Stegostoma tigrinum: one gene and its partner. The protein of the gene in region 1 purifies or fractionates together with the protein of each later gene. This does not show direct contact. Links are inferred from orthologs where the notes say so. Each region holds a gene or a part of one and is shown on either strand. Other genes may lie near its edges.

Evidence for each region. The genes of interacting proteins can lie anywhere in the genome.
Region 2: the proteins of ppp6c (region 1) and ankrd28b purify together in Homo sapiens (affinity purification with mass spectrometry; 9 studies listed by BioGRID and IntAct, with this or other methods). This does not show direct contact. The link is inferred for Stegostoma tigrinum from reciprocal best matches to the Homo sapiens genes PPP6C and ANKRD28.

Annotation. Positions count from the first base shown.
Region 1 is NC_081382.1:26,602,444-26,613,054, forward strand, and holds the start of ppp6c (serine/threonine-protein phosphatase 6 catalytic subunit), read right to left. Parts: upstream 4,837-10,611; 5' UTR 4,776-4,836; coding exon 4,701-4,775; intron 1-4,700. Other genes in the region: rabepk (rab9 effector protein with kelch motifs), read left to right, coding at 6,903-6,955.
Region 2 is NC_081355.1:102,765,215-102,776,081, reverse strand, and holds the start of ankrd28b (serine/threonine-protein phosphatase 6 regulatory ankyrin repeat subunit A), read left to right. Parts: upstream 1-5,810; 5' UTR 5,811-7,026; coding exon 7,027-7,149; intron 7,150-7,572; coding exon 7,573-7,656; intron 7,657-10,867. UniProt on the Homo sapiens protein: Regulatory subunit of protein phosphatase 6 (PP6) that may be involved in the recognition of phosphoprotein substrates. Involved in the PP6-mediated dephosphorylation of NFKBIE opposing its degradation in response to TNF-alpha.

The DNA of each region.
Region 1 (10,611 bases):
CCTTTAGGTTCCTAATTATTATTCTGTAACTCTTGATGAAAACCATTCACTGCAATGCCTGGAGAGGGAGGATCTGGTTCAGCTGCACTGACACCATTCAAAATAATTTACAAGGCTGCTAACACTCACTGAATCCACTCTCTGATTAAGTTACTACATTCAGGGCAAGGTAAGAAAAAAGAAGAAACCAATCAAAAATACTTGTAAATTGGAACAATAGTGAATCCAATACAACAAGTCATTTGTATCTTTGAATCTATTTTGCAGGTTTCCCTGTCTCAAAAGGCAACATTCAATGGTAGCAAAAAGAGCACATGGTAGGGAGAAGATGGCAAAAATAATTAGAAGTAGTGTTTAACTAAGGAAATACCAGCAGTCTAGATACATTAGTAAACAAGAACAGAGAAAAAAGAAAATTAAATAATTAACTTGTCATGAGCATCCAGCATCCGTTGTTCACAAGGTTTCGTTTGATCAGCAAAGAGCATCCCACACAGACCCATCCCCCTACCCTTCCCCGTAACCCTGCATTGCCTATGGCTAATCCACCTAACGTACACACCCCTGGACACTACGGATAATTTACCATGGCCAATCTACCTAACCTGCACATCTTTGGACTGCGGTAGGAAACCAGAGCACCCAACGGAACCCCACACAGACATGGGGAGAACATGCAACCTCTGTACAGACAGTCGCCCGAGGGTGGTATCGAACCCATGTCCCTGGTGCTGCGAGGCAGCAGTGCTAACCACTTAGCCACTGTGTTGATTGCTTTTTTTTTTTAAGAAAGAGCATCCCACCCATCCCATCCTACCCTCTCCCTGTAACCCTGCATTCCCCACGGCTAACCCACTTGGCCTGCACATCTCTGGATACTTTGGGAAATTTACCACAGCCAATCCACCTAACCTGCACATGTTGGAACTGTGTGAGGAAACCAGAGTAAACCCATACTGACAAAAGGGTGAATATGAAAACTCCACATTTGCCCGAGGGCAGAATCAAACCGGGGACCCTGGTGCTGAGAGGATGCAGTGCTAGCCACTGAACCACCATGCCACCCAAATCCTTTTTCTATTTTCAATACCTTCACACAGTTTCAAGTTTGTTTTTGTGTCATAACGTTTATACACATGCTAAAAAACATTACAATCACAGTGTGATAAAAAGTGAACAGTGCAGATGCTGGAAATCTAACATCAAAACACTGAAAATACTTAGCTATATACAAAGAAAAGAGCATCCCCACAGAATGGGACTTCTTCAGAACATAACATACTATAATCGTAAATACCCTGATTCAAATCTCAGTAGCATCTTAACAGATGTGATATGCGATGTGATATGCGATAATAATCAACAATATAGCTCACAAAACCTCAGTCAAAGCTTAGGTACTATTACACAACTGTGGTTCATACCTGAAACTTAAAGACACCAGCATAAACATCTAAATACATTCAAGGCTCATTTTTAACTATTTCACTTGAAGTGAATATTATGAAGCATCCTTTACCAGATTGTTGTACATTGTAGTGATTTTATAAGTTAATACACCACATAAATGCCTGGTATAAAGGGTTAAAAGAGAAGCAAATATTAAGATGTAGATTCTGCACTGCATGAACGGGAAAGCAGTTCACAGTGAAACATGCAGAAGTATGCTTGTATATGACCAAAACTGGACAATACCCTCAATGCAGCTGATCAAAGCCTTATTTAGAGAAATGTTCATGTTTATCAATTTCTATATGAGCACATGATACATTTCCATACCCTGTCGATCCTGTGGCACTACCTATAGGTACAGAAGACATAGTAGATGCTGAGAAATGAGAGGTAGTATTGAGATGTTAATGGGATAACATCTCATTAATTTTTGTGCTCCTTGTCTTCTCACACAGGGGTATGTGGAAACTGTCCTAAACTTCCAGCCAAAATAGGATTGGGTGGCTAATGTTTGTAAAGGTATGATTTGTAATTCTGTAAAAGGGTGAAACTTCTGTAAAGGTATGAAACTTCTGTTTCTACTGAAGTGGACAGGTCAGTGACCTCTGTTCAAGCCAGACACTTTGGCGGCTTGAAATCGTTACCAGTCACTTCGTGAACAATCAATGCTGTATTCTGTTCGCTATATGTTCCAAATGTAGTAAATGTTTTTTGTATCAGCCAAAATAGAGTATAAAAAGCGGGGACTGTCCACTGTTCGGGGAGAATTGCTAACGGAACTCAGCACTCTGTGCCAGGTTGAGTACAGCGATCCTCCACAGCTTGTTCTTGTTTAATAATAAAGGATTGTGTTTTTGTAGCCAGGTCAGTGTCTTGCTATTGCATCAAGTTTGTGCGGGTCTCCGAAAAACGAACCTAACAGTATTAGAAGAACGAACAAAAGACAACGAAAGCTTAATAGTATAATTTATAAAGTGTTACCAGAATAGACAAACCTAGGAACATGTGTATATAGATATTTGGAGGCCAATGGGCAAGTTAACAAAGCAGGAGATGCAATCCTGGGCTTTAAGTAAAAGACAGAGTACAAAATTCACGGAATTATGCTAAACCTACATAAAACACTACCTTGATCTCGACTGGGAGTACTCTGTTTAATTTCACAAAGAACATGAAAACTTTGGGGAAAGAAAAATGTATTAAACGGCTCTAAAATGAGGAATTACATTTATGCAAATAGATTTGAGAAATTGGGGGTTTGAATGAGATATTTGGACACAGTGAATAAATGACTGAAGCATGAATAATCAGAGGTGACAGATAGAAGGCAGAAAAAGTGAGGAAAAGAACGTGGCAATCCAGAATTGACTAAAGGCATAACTAATAATTTATCACTCCTGAATGATAAATACGAACAGTAACAAAGTGTAATTGGCCTTTAATTTCATATGGTATTTGCACAGTATAATATATTTCAAACTTGATGCATCTTCTGGGAAAATGGCAAACTAAAAAAAAAACTGAATGTATGAGTGTTTCTTTGATCATTAAGTATTTTAACTAATTACGCTTCAGTAAGATGAGTAAAGACACTCACCGAATCCAGCATTTGTATTACAAGAATGTTAACCAGACTAAAAATCATTGGCCCAATTAAATTACATTGCCGTTACCGCTCATTCAGCAATTTCTACTGAACAATACTACATTTAACATCAAGGAATATTCATTATAATCACATTCTCAAACATGTCACCAAAACGGTCCATGCATGTTAATCATCTACAATTTGTGGCTGAGGAATATATTTAATGGCCTACTTGAGCTGATGTCCAGGTAAAAAGGGCAACATGCTAGTTTGCGATTATTAGAGTTATAGACTTAATGCAGGCTGTTCAGGCAGCATTTATCTAAACTGAGACAAGAAGATGAACCAGCATAGCCATTCCACCTAAACTGCACATTTTTCTACTGAGAAGGAAAGCAGAGCATCCAGAGGAAACCCCAAGCAGACATGTGTAAACTCCACATTAGACAGTCGCCCAAGGCTGGAACTTAACTAGGTCTCTGGCGCTGAGGCAGCAGCGGGTCACCGTGCCACACCAAATGGGAACAAAAGTGTGCAGTAGAAGCTGAATCAATATTTTATCTTAAATAAAGAGCTTCTGTTTTTCTTCTCCATCCACATATTAATACTGAGCAGGATCTTGTAAGACTTAATCACTACTGCAACCTGCTCTGGCATATTCAACAGTATCTAAACACCCCCAACACCTCCAAATACACTACAGGAGCCTATTACTGTTACTAAATGCCTCTATTATCTCATCAAAAACTCCATCCTGTTTTAAGCAGATGTGTGATTTGCAATCACCCAGTCTTCCGGTAGCATTTCTGTACATTAAAAGGTTATAGCCAGTACCTTCACAATTTGAATGCTTGTTTCTCTCAGTATTCTCAGATGCATCTCGTTGAAAGTAACATTTCTTTATCAATCTTTAGCCTCTCTAGCATCACAACTAATTACTCTCTCACTTGAACCATTTAAGTCAATACTCATTAGCATTTGAACAATCTGCATAACAGTTTAGCATTAATAACTAAACCTCTCCACAACTCAACTCCGAAAGTTTCCACTCCTGGTACAGTCAACATTGAACCCAAAAAGAAGCTATAGTTTTAATCTGGAGTGAAATCTTCTACCTCAACCTAATTGAAACAAAAACTTACTTTTGGATCAGAATTAACCGTGATTAGTCAGCAACAAGTCAAGTTCCTCAAATGAACAAAATTTGTGAATTGTTTTACGAAATGATCCAATCCTTCGTTGAAGCAAACTACGTTTCACTTCAAGCGTCCCAGTTCAGCATTCAGGGGAGGCTTCTCACCTATTAGAGGTCCATTCTCCGGGAGTGGTGGGGTTAACACTTGTGATGTTTTGATTGCGGCGACATTACGCTGTCAATGTAAAGATCCACAGATAATAGCGCTAAGGAAGTCTACCTGCCACACATTAAATTTATGTCAAAACCCAAATATAAACAAATGCCACAGAACTTAGGACACAAGAGGTAAGGCCCCAAAAACGTAAGGGTACAGCCTAAAGCTGTAGTCTTGACAGGTCCCATTGCGTCGCTACAAACATAATCGACACTGAGGCGTCAAATAGATTTAGCAATAGACAGACACAAAAAAACATACAAAATAAAGTTCGGGGGTGGGGGAGAGCGGAAACTGTAACACGTTACCTTTAGGTCATTTTCTGGAAGATATTTGCACTGCCGAGCTATCTCCACATACTTATCCAGGTCCAGAGGCGCCATTTTGAGACACGGACTGAGCAAGCCCCAGGCCAATGACGCGCTTCCGGTATCTAAAGCGCCGGCCGCTGGCTAAAGAAACCGGCTTCAAACCTTCACCTTACCCCGAAACGCGTTCGATCGTTAATGACCACTTTGTATTGTTTGAAGATTGACCCCATTCCCCAGGACACACCGAAACTCTTTGTTTAATCCCACAGTTTTTACGCACCGCCCTCTCCATTGGCCGGCTCGGTGGTAAAGTTGAAAGTTCAAGGGTTGTAGATTCCCTTTAGCAACACCCGAGAAAAAAATTGGGAAGAACGACAGGTATGAAGCATTTGAGGCATAGGCTTATATTGCTGTAATTATAGCGAGTAACAGATGCTCTAACGGTTAGTCATCGAAGTGCTGAAAATCAGTAAATGGAATTTGGAGGGAAGGGGAATTGGAAAGTGGCATCTTTCAGTGCTGGCCTTTAAATCGCTGGAGTGACACTAAATTTCACATCAAACTTCCCTGTTTGGAGAAGATCGGCGTTTGTTCAAATATTCTCAGAATGTTCCATTTAAATCAGAAGAACATGAAGAGGCTGCTGTAAAAGATTGTAAAACGGGGCACGTGTCCAATATTTAATTTGCTCCTCATTGTTTTATTTTAAAAAGCCCACGAGATTAAATCAATCGTGACTGCGTGCAAACTGATGACGAAAAGACAAAAAAAAGTAGCAGTGATTGTTCAGTTATGATACTGACTTAGCAAATCGGGGCATAATCACAATCTGTGCGCATGATAAGAACCTGGAGGCATTGATTGTGATCTCTGAGGAAGACAGTGTCGACCTTCAAGAGAACATGGACATGATGATAGAATTGGTAGATAAAGGGCAGAAAACCAGACAATACGAAATAAAAATTACAGTTCTAAAGGATGCACAGCGCAGAGAGATGTGAGTGTGCATAAAGCAGTGAAGGTAGGACAGTTTGAAAGAGTGGCTGTTAAAGTGCACAGTTTCTTAGGCTTTATAGTTAGGAAGGAAGAACCAAGCAGATTTTGTTAAACTTGCTTAAAAATGCACTGGCAATTACATTTCATCCAGCTGTATGCATTGCACTGTACAGAATCTGGAAAAGATTCACGAGAATAATCTCCAGGATGAGGAACTTCAATTGCTTAGAAAGATTAGTGCTGTCATTATGTTTTTTCTGGAAGGCAGAGAGGAGCTTTGTTAGATGCTTTCAAAAGTCATGAAGGATCAGGTCAGAATGGAGAAGGGAAAAACAGTGGCCATTTATGTGAAAGGTTGAAGAACAAAAGGACACAGCCTTTGAGAAATTGGCAAAAGAATCAATGGTGATATGCGGGGGAAAATGTTTTTGATCCCATTGAGTGGTCAGGATATGGAATGTACATTGAAGGCAGGTTTAATAAAGGCGTCTAAAGGAAGAATGTGCAGGATTACAGGGAGAATGCAAGAGAATGTCATGAGATAAATTGTTAATTTTGAGATCCACTACAACACAACAGTTTGAATGGTGTTTTGTGGAACTGAAGTGAAGAATACAGTAGTTATCACTCAACTGCTAATATGCATAGTCTAGGGATATCAGACTAAGACTTTTAGCATTTTTGATTTTTCATCTCCACCTCAAAAATTGGTAGGAAAGCTTGAATGAGAAAACAGATTCAGAATTGCAGACAGCCATTGACAGGTAGTTTACGATATTTACATGCACCAATCTAAGTCGTAATGCCAATGTCAGATTTTATAAAGATGTGGAGGTGGACAAAACCTGAAGTCACATGATACCAGGTATAGGCCAACAGGTTTGTTTAAAATCACAAGCCTTCAGAGTGCTGCTCCTTCATCAGGTGAAGGCTGATGAAATCTTCATCTGGCGAAGGAGCAATGCTCCAAAAGTTTATGATTTTCAATGAACTTGTTGGACTATAACCTGCTGCCATATGACTTCAGATGTTGTAAAAGTTGTAAATTACCTTATGGTCGCATTGAGACTATAATATGCTGTGCTATGGGTTGATTTCATTTACTATAATTAAATAAATGCAAGTAATTTTTATACATTAACATAACATAAAAGTTTAAATCTTCAATGTCTGACAGTTTTATTCCAGATTTTTCGAAAGGCTATGGAATTGCTGACTGTCTTGGAGCCAGGGGAAACACCCCAAATAGCAACATGGTAGGCTGTCAAAGCATGTGTATATTTAACCCGACACTATATTGACAGGAATTGTAACTGTAAAGTGATACCTTAACACAGAGATAATGTCCCTATTTTTTCTTTTGTTTTATTTATTCACATGGTCATCATTTATTTCCCATTCCTGTTGTAGTAGGTCTGTACCACATGTAGGCCAGACCAGCTAAGGATGGCAGTGAACCAGATGAGATTTTTTTTTCAACAATTGAGCCACTTCATGATCATCATTAGACTCCTATTTCCAGACTTCTATTGGATTCAAATTCCATGACTGCCATGAGGTAGTAGGAATTGCAGATGCTGGAGAATCTGTAATAACAAGATGTAGAGCTGGATGAACACAGCAGGCCAAGCAGCCTCATAGGAGCAGGAAAGTTCCTATGATGCTGGTTGGCCTGCAGTGTTCATCCAGCTCTACTCCATAACTGCCATGGTGGCAGTCAAACCGGTATACCTAGAAAATTACCTGGCTCTCTGGATTAACAGTTGAGTGATAGCACCACTAGGCGATTGTGTTCCTTTCTTTTGATGTTACAACTATACATGAATAACAAGTTGTGGAAAGACGATGTGTAAATCTGTACAGGACTGCTTGCCATGTCACTTAAAAAAGACACTAGGGAATGTGCAGAAATATTTACGGAAATTATAGCAGAAAACCTGTTTACACAGGAGTTCTGCATGGCTTATTGTTGGAACTGTTGCTGTTTGTGATGTAAGTTATAATTTGGACTTAAATGTAGGGGTATGATCAAGAATTTCATACATAGTGCCGAAGTTGGTATGGTGGGAAAGAGTGGCATAACTGCATGGAGTTTTCAAAGGACCAATCAGTTGGCGGGGCAATATAGGTTGGATTTTAACCTTGTAAAGCTAATGCACTTGGAGAGGGATTTCAAGGCAAGGGATTTTATAAATAGTTGGACTCCGAAAAGTAGTGAAGATCAGAGGAACCTTGGTGCATATCTTCAGATCCCTTAACATTGTAGGGCAAGGTAGGGTAAATAAGGTAGTTAAGAAGGCATATCAAATAACTTGCTTTTATTAGAGGCCAAGGATTTTATTCAAAGACCGAGGAAGTTATGCTAGAACTAGATAAATGCTTTTGAAGCCACAATTAGAATACTGAGGGCAGGTCTAGTTGCCAAAGTATTGGAAGAATATAACTGTATGAAGAGGGTGCGTGGAAATTTACCTGGATGCTTTTTGGGCTGGAGGTCTGAGCTGTACAGAAAGACTGCATAGGCTGGGATTGTTTTCCTCGAGGCAGCAAAAGGTGAGAAGGGGACGACCTGATGGAAATGTTTAAGATTGTGAAGGGCATAGATAGGGTGGATAGGAATGCATTTTTTCCTTTAGTTGAGGAGCCATTAACCAATGGGTGTAGATTTAATGCAAGAGGTAGAAAGCTAACAGGACAGTTGAGTTTTTTTTCCACTAAGAGGGTGGGGGGAGTCTGGGAGTCATTATCTAAGTCAGAAACTTTTGTAACATTTAAACAGTATTTAGCTATTACAGGCAGTCACCAAATTGTGAATGGGCTCCATTCTTGAATCCATTCACTAGTCAATTTTTACACAAGTGAGTAAGTGAAGCTTGATAATATAAAACAGCCTTTCTTATGTACAAGGCCAAATGTTGGATCTTTAAAATTAATATTCATACACCTCGTATGGGATTGCGTTTGTAAGTACGAACATTTGTGCATCGGATGTTGATAAATTGGCGATCCCCTGTGATTTACATTGCCATATCCTCCATGACTATGGGCCAAGAACTGGAAAATGTTATTCATGCTGTCCAATCTTTGACTGGTGCGGACACAATGGGCTGAATAACCTCTCTTCTGTAAATGTCCAAGGAAAGACTTGGTGTCTTTTCACTTGAAAAGAGAAGACTGAAGTCTGACCTAATAGAAGTACTAAATTGGGGGAAAGCTAACTACAGCAATATTAGGTAGGAACTGAGGAATGTAGAAAGGACGTAACAATTTGAGGAAATCTTTTAAATACTAATTGATTCAGGACCAGCATGCTCCTGTGAAAGTGAAGGATAGGGATAGCAAGATTTGGCAACCTTAGGTGACAAGAAATTGTGAATTTAGAAAGAAAAAGGAAGCATAGGTAAAGCTTAGGAAAATGAGGACAGACAGAGGCCTTGAGGAATATATAGAAAGCAGGAAAGAACATGAACAAGGAGCTGGGGTAACAATCTTAGCAAATGGGATTAAAGAAAAGGCTTTTTATACTTCTCTAAAGAGCAAGATGGTAGATGGGGAAAATGTAGATCCACTCAAGGACAAAAAGGGAATTTAGGCATGGATCTGGAAGATGCGGGTGAGGTCCTTGCATTGGCAATCAAAGTGGAGAAGGACATGGTGGATTCGGAGTCTAGAGAGTGGTATATTTGATATTTTAGAACATGTTAATATAAACATTTAGAAGGTGTCGGGTGTTTTGAAAAGCATTAAGGTAAACGAGTTCCCAGGACCTGATAAGAGCTATCTATTTCACAAGGAAGAGGTATTAGAAATCCTACAGAGTGTGAAGATAGATAAGTCCCTTGGGCCAGATGGCATTTATCCTAGGATCCTCTGGGAAGCCAGGGAGGAGATTGCCGAACCTTTGGCATTGATCTTTAACTCGTCATTGTCTACAGGAATAGCGCCAGATGACTGGAAGATAGCAAATGTGGTTCTCCTGTTCAAGAAGGGGAGTAGAGACAACCCTGGTAATTATAGATCATTGAACCTTACTTCAGTTGTTGGTAAAGTGTTGGAAAAGGTTATAAGAGGTAGGATTTATAATCATCTAGAAAAGAATAAATGATGTGGTGTATATGGATTTCAGCAAGGCGTTAGATAAGGTTCCCCACAGTAGGCTATTGTACAAAGTGCGGAGGAATGGGATTGTGGGAGATATAGCAGTTTGGATCAGAAATTGGCTTGCTGAAAGAAGACAGATGGTGGTGGTTGATGGGAAATGTTCATCCTGGAGACCAGTTACTAGTGGTGTACCGCAAGGGTTGGTGTTGGGTCCACTGCTGTTTGTCATTTTTATAAATGACCTGAATGAGGACGTAGAAGGATGGGTCAGTAAATTTGCAGACGATACCAAGGTTGGTGGAGTTGTGGATAGTGAAGAAGGATGTTGTAGGTTTCAGAGAGACATAGATAAGCTGCAGAGCTGGGCTGAGAGGTGGCAAACGGAGTTTAATGCGGACAAGTGTGAGGTGATGCACTTTGGTAGGAGTAACCGGAAGGCAAAGTACAGGGCTAATGGTAAGATTCTTGACAGTGTAGATAAACAGAGAGATCTCGGTCTCCATGTACACAGATCCTTGTAAGTTGCCACCCAGGTTGACAGGGTTGTTCAGAAAGCATACAGTGTTTTAGCTTTTATTAATAAGGGATCGAGTTCCGGAACCATGAGGTTATGCTGCAGCTGTACAAAACTCTGGTGCGGCTGCACTTGGAGTATTGCGTACAGTTCTGGTCACCGCATTATAAGAAGGATGTGGAAGCTTTGGAAAGGGTGCAGAGGAGAGTTACTAGATGTTGCCTGGTATGGAGGGAAGGCCTTACGAGGAAAGGCAGACGGATTTGAGGCTGTTTTCATTAGGGAGAAGAAGGTTGA
Region 2 (10,867 bases), on another chromosome or scaffold:
CATCTCTCCTCATCTTTTCATTGTCGTATCTGTCAACAAGTTTTTCCAACATTTCAAGCCAATTTCCATCAACAAAAGCTATTATAGCCTTTTTTAATAAACCTAATTACCCTTGTGACCCTTCTGTCTCAAGAGGCTTTTTCTCCTATCCTGTGACCCAGTTTCTCTTTATATCTCTCTTTACAAACCGATGAGTGTTGTAGTCTAATAATTATACTCCTCTAATATCTAGAGGTTGAATTCAGATCCCACCTGAGAAAAATGTAAAATTAAATTCAATTAATTCTATAATTTGTAGGTTAACACCAGCAAAATAACAGTGAAAGTTGTTGGGATAACACAGTGTAGAGCTGGATGAACACAGCAGGCGAAGCAGCATCAGAGGACAGGAAAGCTGACGTTTCGGGTCGAGACCCTTCTTCAGAAGGATTATCTTTTTAAAAAAAAAACTGGTTGAATACAGTTGAATCTATCACATCAGCCTGGTCTGGTATAGATTGCCTCCAATTACATGGACTCTGGATGATTGCTAACTCAAAGCAAGTTTGGGTGAGCAGTAATTGAAGCCTCCCTGGCATTTCCAGCATCCCAGGAACAACTAAAATGAGAATAGATTAGGCAAAGTAGGTGTGAGATGTTTTTGAGCGTGCAGACAAATTTAACGATTTAGTTATTGCTTAGGACAGACTCGGTTCATTTAATGTAATTTACTTCATTTATTAGGCTCTGGAACTGAAAGGTAGTCTCAGTAATGGTGTCGATGAAACTCGGGCTCTTATGGGCAGTGGCAGTGTTCCTACCTCTGAGCTGAGAGGCTCAGGTTCTAGTCTCACCTGCATCAGAGGTGTGTAAAATGCCTCCGTAAAGGTTGATTAGAAAATACCTATGAAACTATCATTGTTGGAAATAAACATTAGGTTCCTCAATGCTATTTAGGGAAGAAAATATGCAATCCTTAACTGGTCTGCTGCTCAGATGCTGTCTGACCAACTGTGCTTTTCCAGCTCCACATTTATTGACTCCACATCTACAGTAATGTGACAAGCTGTTGAAGACTCTTAGAAATAGCCTGACAAACCATTGATTTTGAGTGTAGTTAGAATGATTAATAAATGCCAGTGATGTCCACACTCCACAAATAAATATCACAAGCATGATTTATATTTTCAGTTTATGAAACTTGTGTTTTGAAAAGTGATAGTCCAAAATCCCACTTGTACCAGTATAGAATTAGCTGAAGCCCAGATTGTTTTGGTATCTATGTCCCATTAACTAACCTCAGATTTGAGGCATTTAGTGATACTACATTATTTTTCACATTTCTACCAGCAACTTTACAAATAAGTGTGATACTGACATATATGTTTTCTTTGTATCATGATCAGATGCAAATAGCATGGCAATTTGTAAAAGCCCAATGAAAGTCTGCTTGAAAATTGGCTGAAATGATTTCTTATTGCAAAGCTGATTTTACTGCAGTGTACTATATGCCGCTATCTCCACAGCATCATGAAGCAAATCTTCTGACCGGTGGTTACGGAGCTGTCTTGTTCATTCAACCTGAAATTTGTCGTTATTAGATTGCCAGGATGAATATGGCTTAAAGGTTTGTTAGAGCAACACATTCTGTTTTTTTTTTAAACTGCTAAATTCCAGTTCTTTGAGGTTTGGAAACTCTCAAAATATTTTGTGTGTTTCATAGCTGAGATAATCAGTTATGGGGATTTCCTAGTCATCGAAGTCACACCTATCATAGACTTCATTCTCAGAAACTAATAAATTTGTGAAGGATGTAGATATATTTATCAAATTACTTATTGAGGCAGTGCATTTTTGGCTGAAGTTGAAATTTGGAAATTGTAAACTCAGCTTGTCTGGGATTGGGATTCCTTATTTATTTTTGCAAGATAAAATGTAATCTATTATGGAGGTAATTTGGTTTTGAAACTCTGACTCATTCAAAATACATGTATGGGTAACATTTAACAGAAAGTGAATCATGCAGCTGGGAAGTTTAACTGTTTTCCTAATGTACAATTTGACAAAATGTTGTCAATGGCTAAAATTGCAATAGCCTTGTATGTGTCTCATGTTGTACAGAATTTACAATTTTTTTTTGGTATTTATTCTCGGAATGTGGGCGCCACTGGTTAGGCCAGCACATATTGCTAATCTCTAATTGCCTTGAGGATATGGAGCTGAACTACCTTCTTGAACCACTGCACCCTATGCAGTGTCAGTGCACCCCACAGTGCTGTAATGGAGGGAGCATTGAAGACTTGATTTATAAGCTCTTCCAGATTGCTTTAGTATAACAGACTTACACTGAAGTTTACCATTGGCTGCATGTATTTTAGAAATTTGTGCAGATACATCAATATAGTAGAAGCTTAGAAACTTGGCATTTGTACTATATAGTTTCAAAGTTATAATCTAATTGATTGGAAACAAATCAGTACTTAAAGCGTCTAATAGTTCTACCAAATTGAAATCCCTTTTTGGTGTAATGAAAATGGGCTTGGTATTATCATCTTTTCAAGCAGTGTAAGTCATTGTGGATGTAAAATCTATGGATTTGGAATAGGAAGCTGATGTCTGGTACTTTTGTCACTTTGTGAAATTAATCAAAATGAATAATTGTCCGTATTTCCACTTCTGTTCTTAGCCACCTGCCCCCTTAACTAAGCCAGTCGTGATGGTCTTCTCACTGTGTGATTGCTAATTTTTTTTGTCTATGTGAAGTTTTGCATCTGAGAACTTGTTGAAGTACAGCCCAGGATAAGTGCTTGCAATCTTTGCAAGCGTTCTGTGTAATGAATTCAAGCAGTCTTAAGTCTTTTGAGTCTGCTCTGCCATTTGGCAAGAACATAGCTGAGCTGATTATCATCTCAATACTACTTTTCTTTCTGCAGCCAGTAACCCTTGACACCCTTACCAATCCAAAGTACTGCAAACGTTTTATTAACCAGCGCCTATGGGACCAAGAGTGTGCCGGTTGACCAAATATTTTTGATTACAAGGACCTCTTGATTATCTATGTAAAAATACAAACTAAGTACTGGAAACATAATGCAGGGGGTATACACATCACTGTTATATTTTATTTACAGCGTAAATCACTTAAATAATTCAATTTTGCCTTAAATAAAACTTATTAGCAAGGCACCTTCTCACTCTCACCCTCACCTGACTACTCGGACATCATATTATTTAAGGAGAGATTGATTTGAATTTGAATCAACTGTTGATATTTTGTGCGGCCATTCGATTGAGCAGTAGGTATGTTTACATAGTCATATAGCATGGAGACAGACTGTGTGGTCTAATTTGACTGCGCCAACCGAGCATCCTTAACAGATGTAGTCCTATTTGCCAGATCATCCCTATTCATGTACCCCCAGATGTCTTTTAAATGTCGTGATTGTACTACCTCCAGCACATCCTCTGGCAGCTCGTTCCATACACGCGATCCATACACCACCCACCAGCCCTTTCTAATTTTTTTCCCTCTCTTCTTAAACCTATGCCCTCTAGTTTTGGACCCCCCCCCCCCCACAAAGACCTTGACTTTTCACCCTGTTGATGCCCCTCATGATTTTATAAACCCCTAGAATGTCTCCACTCAGCCTCTGACATTGCAGGGAAAAAGGCCCCAGCCTGTTCAGCCTCGCTCTATAGCCCAAACCCTCCAGTCCCAGCATCATCCTTGTAAATCTTTTCTGCACCCTTTCAAGTTTAACAACATCTTACCTGTAGCAGGGAGCCCAGAACTGAATTTGGCATTCAAAAGGTGGCCTCACCAATATCCTGTACAGCCACAACACGACATCCCAACTACTACACTTAATAAATTCCTAAACAATATGAAGGATTATTTGAATCTAATGGATTTTAAAAAGTGAACCCAAAACTAATTCAATATATAACTCAGTCGATTTCCGTCAAGGAAAAGAGCAAGCCTGATGTATTTGAGGTGGAAGCAAAGCAAGAGATTATGTCGTAAAAGGGAGTGTACTGAATTGCAGATTAACAGAAGTGGAACCTTGGAGTCCAAGGTGTCAGGACAGGAAGATAAGTTGTTTAAGCAACAGTAAGGGAAACTTACTTTAATAGCTGAGGCACAAATGTAATGTCAAGGAAGTTAATCTGAAACTATATGTAATTCCTCTCATCTGCGGTACCAAATGCAGTTTTGGTAACTGTGTTGCAAGAGAAATGTGATTGTACTGCAGAGGGTACTGAAGAAATTTACAAAGTTGTTGCATAGATTGGTGAATTTTGTTTGAGGAAAGATCAGATCAACTGTGGTTGTTTTGAACGTAAGAGCTTAGGAGAAAATATAATTTATACCATCTATGCGATAAATGTTTTGTTTCTGTCCCTTCAGCTAAAATTCTAATGGTACGTAGCCCAAAATCTTGCTTGCTTTATGGATGTTTGGCCTTTGAATTTTCATATATTTACATGTTTATGTCAGGGTCCTTAAGGTTGAAAATCTCTCTAAGGATATTTGGAGTTTTATTGGGAAGTATGCAAATAATGTTTTCTAATTTCAATTACCATTTTGTGAAGCCAGTGTTGTTACACCAGTGGCTACTACCGTGATCTTAACTAATGATAAAAATTTCGAGCACCCATCTTGGGAGATATCCAAAGCTGGTAAAGATGCAGTTGTGTTGAACGATTTCTTGACAGCACCAATAGGTGACACGATTCATGCTTTTTTTGTAAATTTTGAGACTAGAAAAGCATACCTACCTATAATTAAGATAGTATTGTAATTTTTTTAAATTAATGAGAGGCAGGACATTTCTGGCATTGTAGGGACATTCCAACTTGCCGACTGAATTGGATTAGCTCCAACGAATGGGGATTGGAATTAATCAGACTTGGATATTGAAGCTGAGATTTTTTTTAAAAATAAAATTGAAAATTAATTGAACCAAGTATAAAATCTAATGTGGCATTTAGCATAGCAACTGATATAGTTTGGTGAGATTAATGTTTGATTTATCATGTCTATATTTCCACTTGTTAAGAGGAAAGTTAGCTTTCAGGGTAAGATAAGCTGATAGAACTTTCTAATGCCATGATGGCCTACTCCCTTGACTACTAAAGCAAAAAGCATAGAAAATTTGGGGCAGGTACACCCATTTTTCTTATTTCATCTATAATGAGAAAGAAATATCATGTAAAACTTTGTCATCATCTATTCAATCATTCTGATACAAGAGATTTAATTTGAATTAAAATCTATCCCACAGTGTCTTATGTTTGCTGTACTGTAATATTTGCAGGTTGCATGCTTAAAAATTGGTTTTCCCAGGTATTTAGTAGCAAAACTGGGGTGAAGTTCAAGACCACATTTTTTTCTGTAAAGTGTTTACAGGTTTTTCACGGCCCTCTTTCCCCCCCAAAAGAATCATATTACTGAATCAATTGTCTGTTCATTACCCACTTTAAAAAATGTTGGGGACCTCTGTAAGTAGAATTTGTTAGACAGTTGCCCAAAGTACTACATGCCAAATATCTGTAGGAAATTAAATTTTATTTGCCAGTTTTCACCAGCAGCCATAGTTTTATGAGTACATTGAGAGTTTCTGACATTTGAGCAATGATTTAAGAAATGTTAACCGTTTTGAAGTTATCCATGTTTGTGCATTCTTAGACCTCTGGGAACTGTACGGAAGAAGTACTGTTAATTGCCTTTTTAAAAAAGTGAAACAGATAAAGGATTACTCATAATGTTGTACCCTCCCTGTCGTAGTGAGTCAGCAAAGCCAACAAACCATTTTCCCTTGCAGCTTTGAATGGAAACTGTTAACTTGCAGCTATTCTGCAATAAAGCTGCCTTAACGTCAGACAAGTAATTTATTCACATCTCTGGCATGCAGTTGAAATTGCAAGGGCAGCCAGAAAGCAGCACGCTAGAAGAAGCTACCAGAATTCTGCTGCTCTGTCTGCATTCAGCATATATAAAGCTGAAATGGTGGCTATGCTTTGGATATCTGCTGACTGCTTTTTAGGTTATGGATTGGATTCGGTGAAACAATAATTGATCCCTAAAGCAGGAAACTAGCAGTTCTGGATTGTCAACTTGAATTGGCAGACTGACAGAAGCTTGACTTCAAGCACATGGGAAAATACCACAGACGGCGGCTTTTTTATTACAGTCACAGTATTGAAGATTGAAGCTCCTGTACTTGCGTCAGTTATCTGAAGGAAATTCAGTGACTGCTGCCTTGGATTTCTGTATTCAAGATTTTTCAGGATAATTCCAGTTTCTTATTTGTTGAAGTGAACTGGCCTACATGTTTCCAGCTCATTGAATTGCCTGTCGGAGTTTCTGCAGTGACTAGCTGCTGGAGAAAAGTGACTGCTCGGCACAGCACAATCGCCAATGGAGTAATAGATGTATTTTGTTTCTGGGTCACACTTGTATAGCCCACCTTGTTGTATGGGCTATCCTGTTTATTTTCTGTTCATGGTTTCTTTCTGTCCTTTTCCTCTTTCTCTCTGTTGTGCTCTCACTCTCATCTGGCCTGTGTTTAATTACACTGCAGTGGAGTTAATTAAATGAATTTTCATTTGAAATTGTTTTGTACTTTCTCCTGGATACTGCTTCAGCCTGACGAAAATCTGTTGATTGGGAAAAGAAGTCTTGAAGCCTTCTGATATGGAAAATGCTCAGTTTCTCTCTCTGTAAATCATTTGAAAATCTAAACTACATGATTTGCCTGCTTTTCTATTTAAGGAATGGTGTCATGTCACCCATAACAACAGCTACGCTGCATAGAGGCTACTCTGTCAAATAAGGAACCAGCTCAGCAGTATCAGTGTGTGTGTTGGCAATAGCGCTGAGTTTACTCCGGAACTACTTATGTAAACCATATGGATAAAACTGGCATAAATCTCTAGCATAGTCACTTGTTCTCAGTGACAATAGGATTGTTATTTTCCATCAAAACGTGCAAGTGTTGTTTGTGAATCAAAGATTACGAAAGTAGTGTGGAAACAGGGGATCGGATGAGCCGAGTGTGTATTGTTGTACTGGAGGAGGTGGACGATGATTCTCCTGTTATTACTTCTAAAAAGCTTCAGGAAAAGTACGAGGATGCATCAAAGTCACTTCCACCTGAAGATGGAAGGGTGAGCATATCTCAGCTTGTCTAATCATACCTGCAAAAGTATTGCATCAGCTTCACACTGATAAGATGTGCAAATCCAGGTTTTATCTGCTTTCTTAATATAAATTTGTAATATGAAAAAAAAATATGCAGAGTCCAAACATTTGCATCTTAAAGTTTGGTTTTTGGCATTTGTTTGACATAAGCTGAGAAAGTTGCATGTATTGACATTTTGAATTGAATTGTGTATCAACAGTTTCTAGGAATATAGACCACACTTAGAGAAAATTCATACTGCTTATTCCATTTCCCACTGATATTTGAGTGTTTGGGACCCTACATACAGTTATGTGATATATGTGGTCCATATTTGTCAATTAGTGATGTCACAGTCATATAAATATTTTTATATTTGTATAATCTTAAGTTTCTTTCAATGTTGCAGCCGCCACTGGTTCAAGCTATTTTTAATGGAGATCCTGATGAAGTCCGCAGTCTCATTTTCAAAAAGGAGGATGTTAATGTCCAGGTACGTGTAATTTAATTGTTTGCCTGCGACCATCCCCTCAAACCACCGCCATCACCACCACGTCCACCAACTCCCCCACCCAACAGGTGTCCTTGTGCATCACTAAACTGTTCAAAGCCTGTCGGTTTTCAGTTGCTACAGAAGTGACTTGAAAAGCTAAAAGAGATCATCAGTACTCTTGTCTCAGTTCTACCTAGTGTTACTTGATGTATCTATTGATGAACAAAATTAATGAAATTTTCAGGATGAATACCTGTTATAATACGTCAGAAATTCTAATTCAGGACATATGGCTCTTATGACATTATGCATCCGTATCTGGAATTTCTTTTCCTTTTTAGTTTACATATTTCCATACATTCTAATGGTTTAGTAGGCTAGCTTGGTTTGCTAACCAGTGTAGCTGATTGTTCATGTTGATTAAACCATTTAGTGTATCAAAACCGGTTTCCTCAATCTTGCTTTCACTTCCCTTTTGTATATATAAGCAGATGAGGAATTTGGTTACTGAGTCTCATCAGGATGCTCTCAAGGACTTCCTGTGGCTTGCTAAAGGAATACCTGTGCCTCCTATTGAAAAATATGCCAAATATCCTCGATGAAATTACTTGTTTAAAAAGACTTTAAGTTGGATATTTGCTATTTGTTGCAGCGATACTTAGCAAAATTCCAAACCGGTCACCTGGAGACCAGTTTTTAAAAGCAGGAGTCAAATGTTTAAGTTCCATCCTTGATCTTTGATAAATTTGAACGTTTGCATATTTTTTCTCTTGTTCCCAATTTTTACATAGAAGTGGTTGGGAGGAGATTTAAATATGATTCTAGAAACACCAACAGTAGTTATGGCAGTTACCATTTTTGTGACCTCTATTAAGCTGCAAAAAGTGTTTTATAATGTTTGGGAGTACTCTGTTTGTATGTCTTCAACTTCATATATACAGACCAATGGACGTTCAGAACAGAACAGATTTTTATACATCCATCTGCTGGTATCTATTATAAAATATAATATTTCCTATTTAAATTTTCTGTGCTTTACATACAACAAGTTTTGTGGTGTCTAATGTTTTGAACATAGACTTTTTGATTCTTACTAAATTGAAACAGACTTAGATCCAAATTCTCTACAGCAGACATTTATTTATTCTCTGAGGAAGAATACGAGTCATGCCAGATATCGTTTTGACCCCTCGTTGATAAGTCAGTTTTACTTGAGCCCATGAAAATGCTGAAAGGATTCTATTTAAATGTACCGTTCGAAGTATTAACTCATAATGTCGGTGATTAGCATGAAAATAAATCTTTCAAGCGGGACCAAACATTCCAATTACTTCAGCAATTGTTCCTGATTGTTGAATTAAGTAAAATATTACAAACACACTGTTGACAAATCTGACATCTTATTAAGCAAATTTTCTGTGAATTACATATTTACATATTTTTCTCAATCTAGACAAGAACTCCTTGCTCTCTGATGAAGGGTCTAGGCCCGAAACGTCAGCTTTTGTGCTCCTGAGATGCTGCTTGGCCTGCTGTGTTCATCCAGCCTCACATTTTATTATCTAAGAACTCCTTTGTAATTATTTTTGGGAGATTAAAGATTTTTCAAATACTTATGTTCATGTATTCCCCCTCATCCCATGAATTAATTTAAAGTCAGAGTCTACCTTTGTTTCCTGCTTTCGCTAAGAGCAGGTGAAAGCTGTGATAACTCTATGACTCCATATAAGTTGGCATTAAACGCAGATAATCAAATATTGACATAGGAAAGACAAACCGTTAAAGGATGTCCATATTAAACAAGTGTTCTAAACAGTTTGTTTATAGAGATAATAATTTTCACCTTTTGTAATATTGAAACTTTTACCCTTTCCCCAGTCAGCTTTAGCCTGTTTAGAATGAAGGGCTGTTTCAATCAGGCCAATCCATAATTTGAGTTTGAACATTTAGTGCTAAATTTTATTTTATGTTTTGAAGGAAAATGAGCAGTTACAACAGTAACCATAACAGTGCAACAGATATGGCATCAACTACAAGAGTGGTCTTAATAATTTTATGATATTTTCTTTTGACTTGGCACACTATGAACTGCTAAATTCAGCTGTGAGTTGGGTTGTGTTGGTTTTTGGACATATTAGCCGCCGACCTTTTGTTTTCCGTGTTAATGTCCTCTATGATACTACAACCTTTTTCTGAACAGTTTTGATCCTGCCTAGTCGTGTAGAGGTTAGAATTGGTCAAATATCTGAATTTCTGAGATTTCACTCTCTTCTGAAGGTTTTTGACTTTAGCCTGCTCTACTTAACAGTTGGGAAAGTTCCCTGCTGGAAACCTTTGCTCAGTACTCAAATCGGACTCGAGAGCGTTCTCAGGATCTATCTCCTAGTTTAACAATGGATCTGAGAAAGGAACCCTTTCTGGCTTTCTCTTCAGATCGATGTAGTGAGAGGAGCTAGGGTCAGACAAGACCCAGCAAATACATTTCAATGCTTTATGAAAACTAACAAAGATAGGTGGACAGGCAGGTTGTACTGAAGAGGTAGGGAAGCTACAGAAAGATTTAGACAGTTTAAGAGTGTGGTCCAGGAAATGGCTGATGAAATTCAATGTGAGTAAATGTGAGGTTTTGCACTTTGGAAAAAAGAATACAGGCAGGGACTATTTTCTAAATGGTGAGAAAATTTGCAAAGCAGAAGTACAAAGGGATCTGGGAGTGTTGGTCCAGGATTCTCTAAAGGTTAACTTGCAGGTAGAGTCTGTAATTAAGAAAGTGAATGTAATGTTGTCATTTATCTCAAGAGGGTTGGAATATAAAAGCAGCGATGTGCTTCTGAGGCTTTATAAAGCTCTAGTTAGGCCCCATTTAGAATACTGTGTCCAATTTTGGGCCCCACACCTCAGGAAGGACATACTAGCCCTGGAGCGTGTCCAGCGGAGATTCACACGATGATCCCTGGAATGGTAGGTTTAACGTATGATGAACGGCTAAGGATCCTGGGATTGTACTCGTTAGAGGTAAGAAGGTTGAGGGGAGATCTAATAGAAACTTACAAGATAATGTATGGTTTAGAAGGGGTGGACACTAGGAAGTTGTTTCCGTTAGGCGGGGAGACTAGGACCCGTGGGGGCACAGCCTTAAAATTAGAGGGGATAAATTTAAAACTGAAATGAGACGACATTTCTTCAGCCAGAGAGTGGTAGGCTTGTGGAA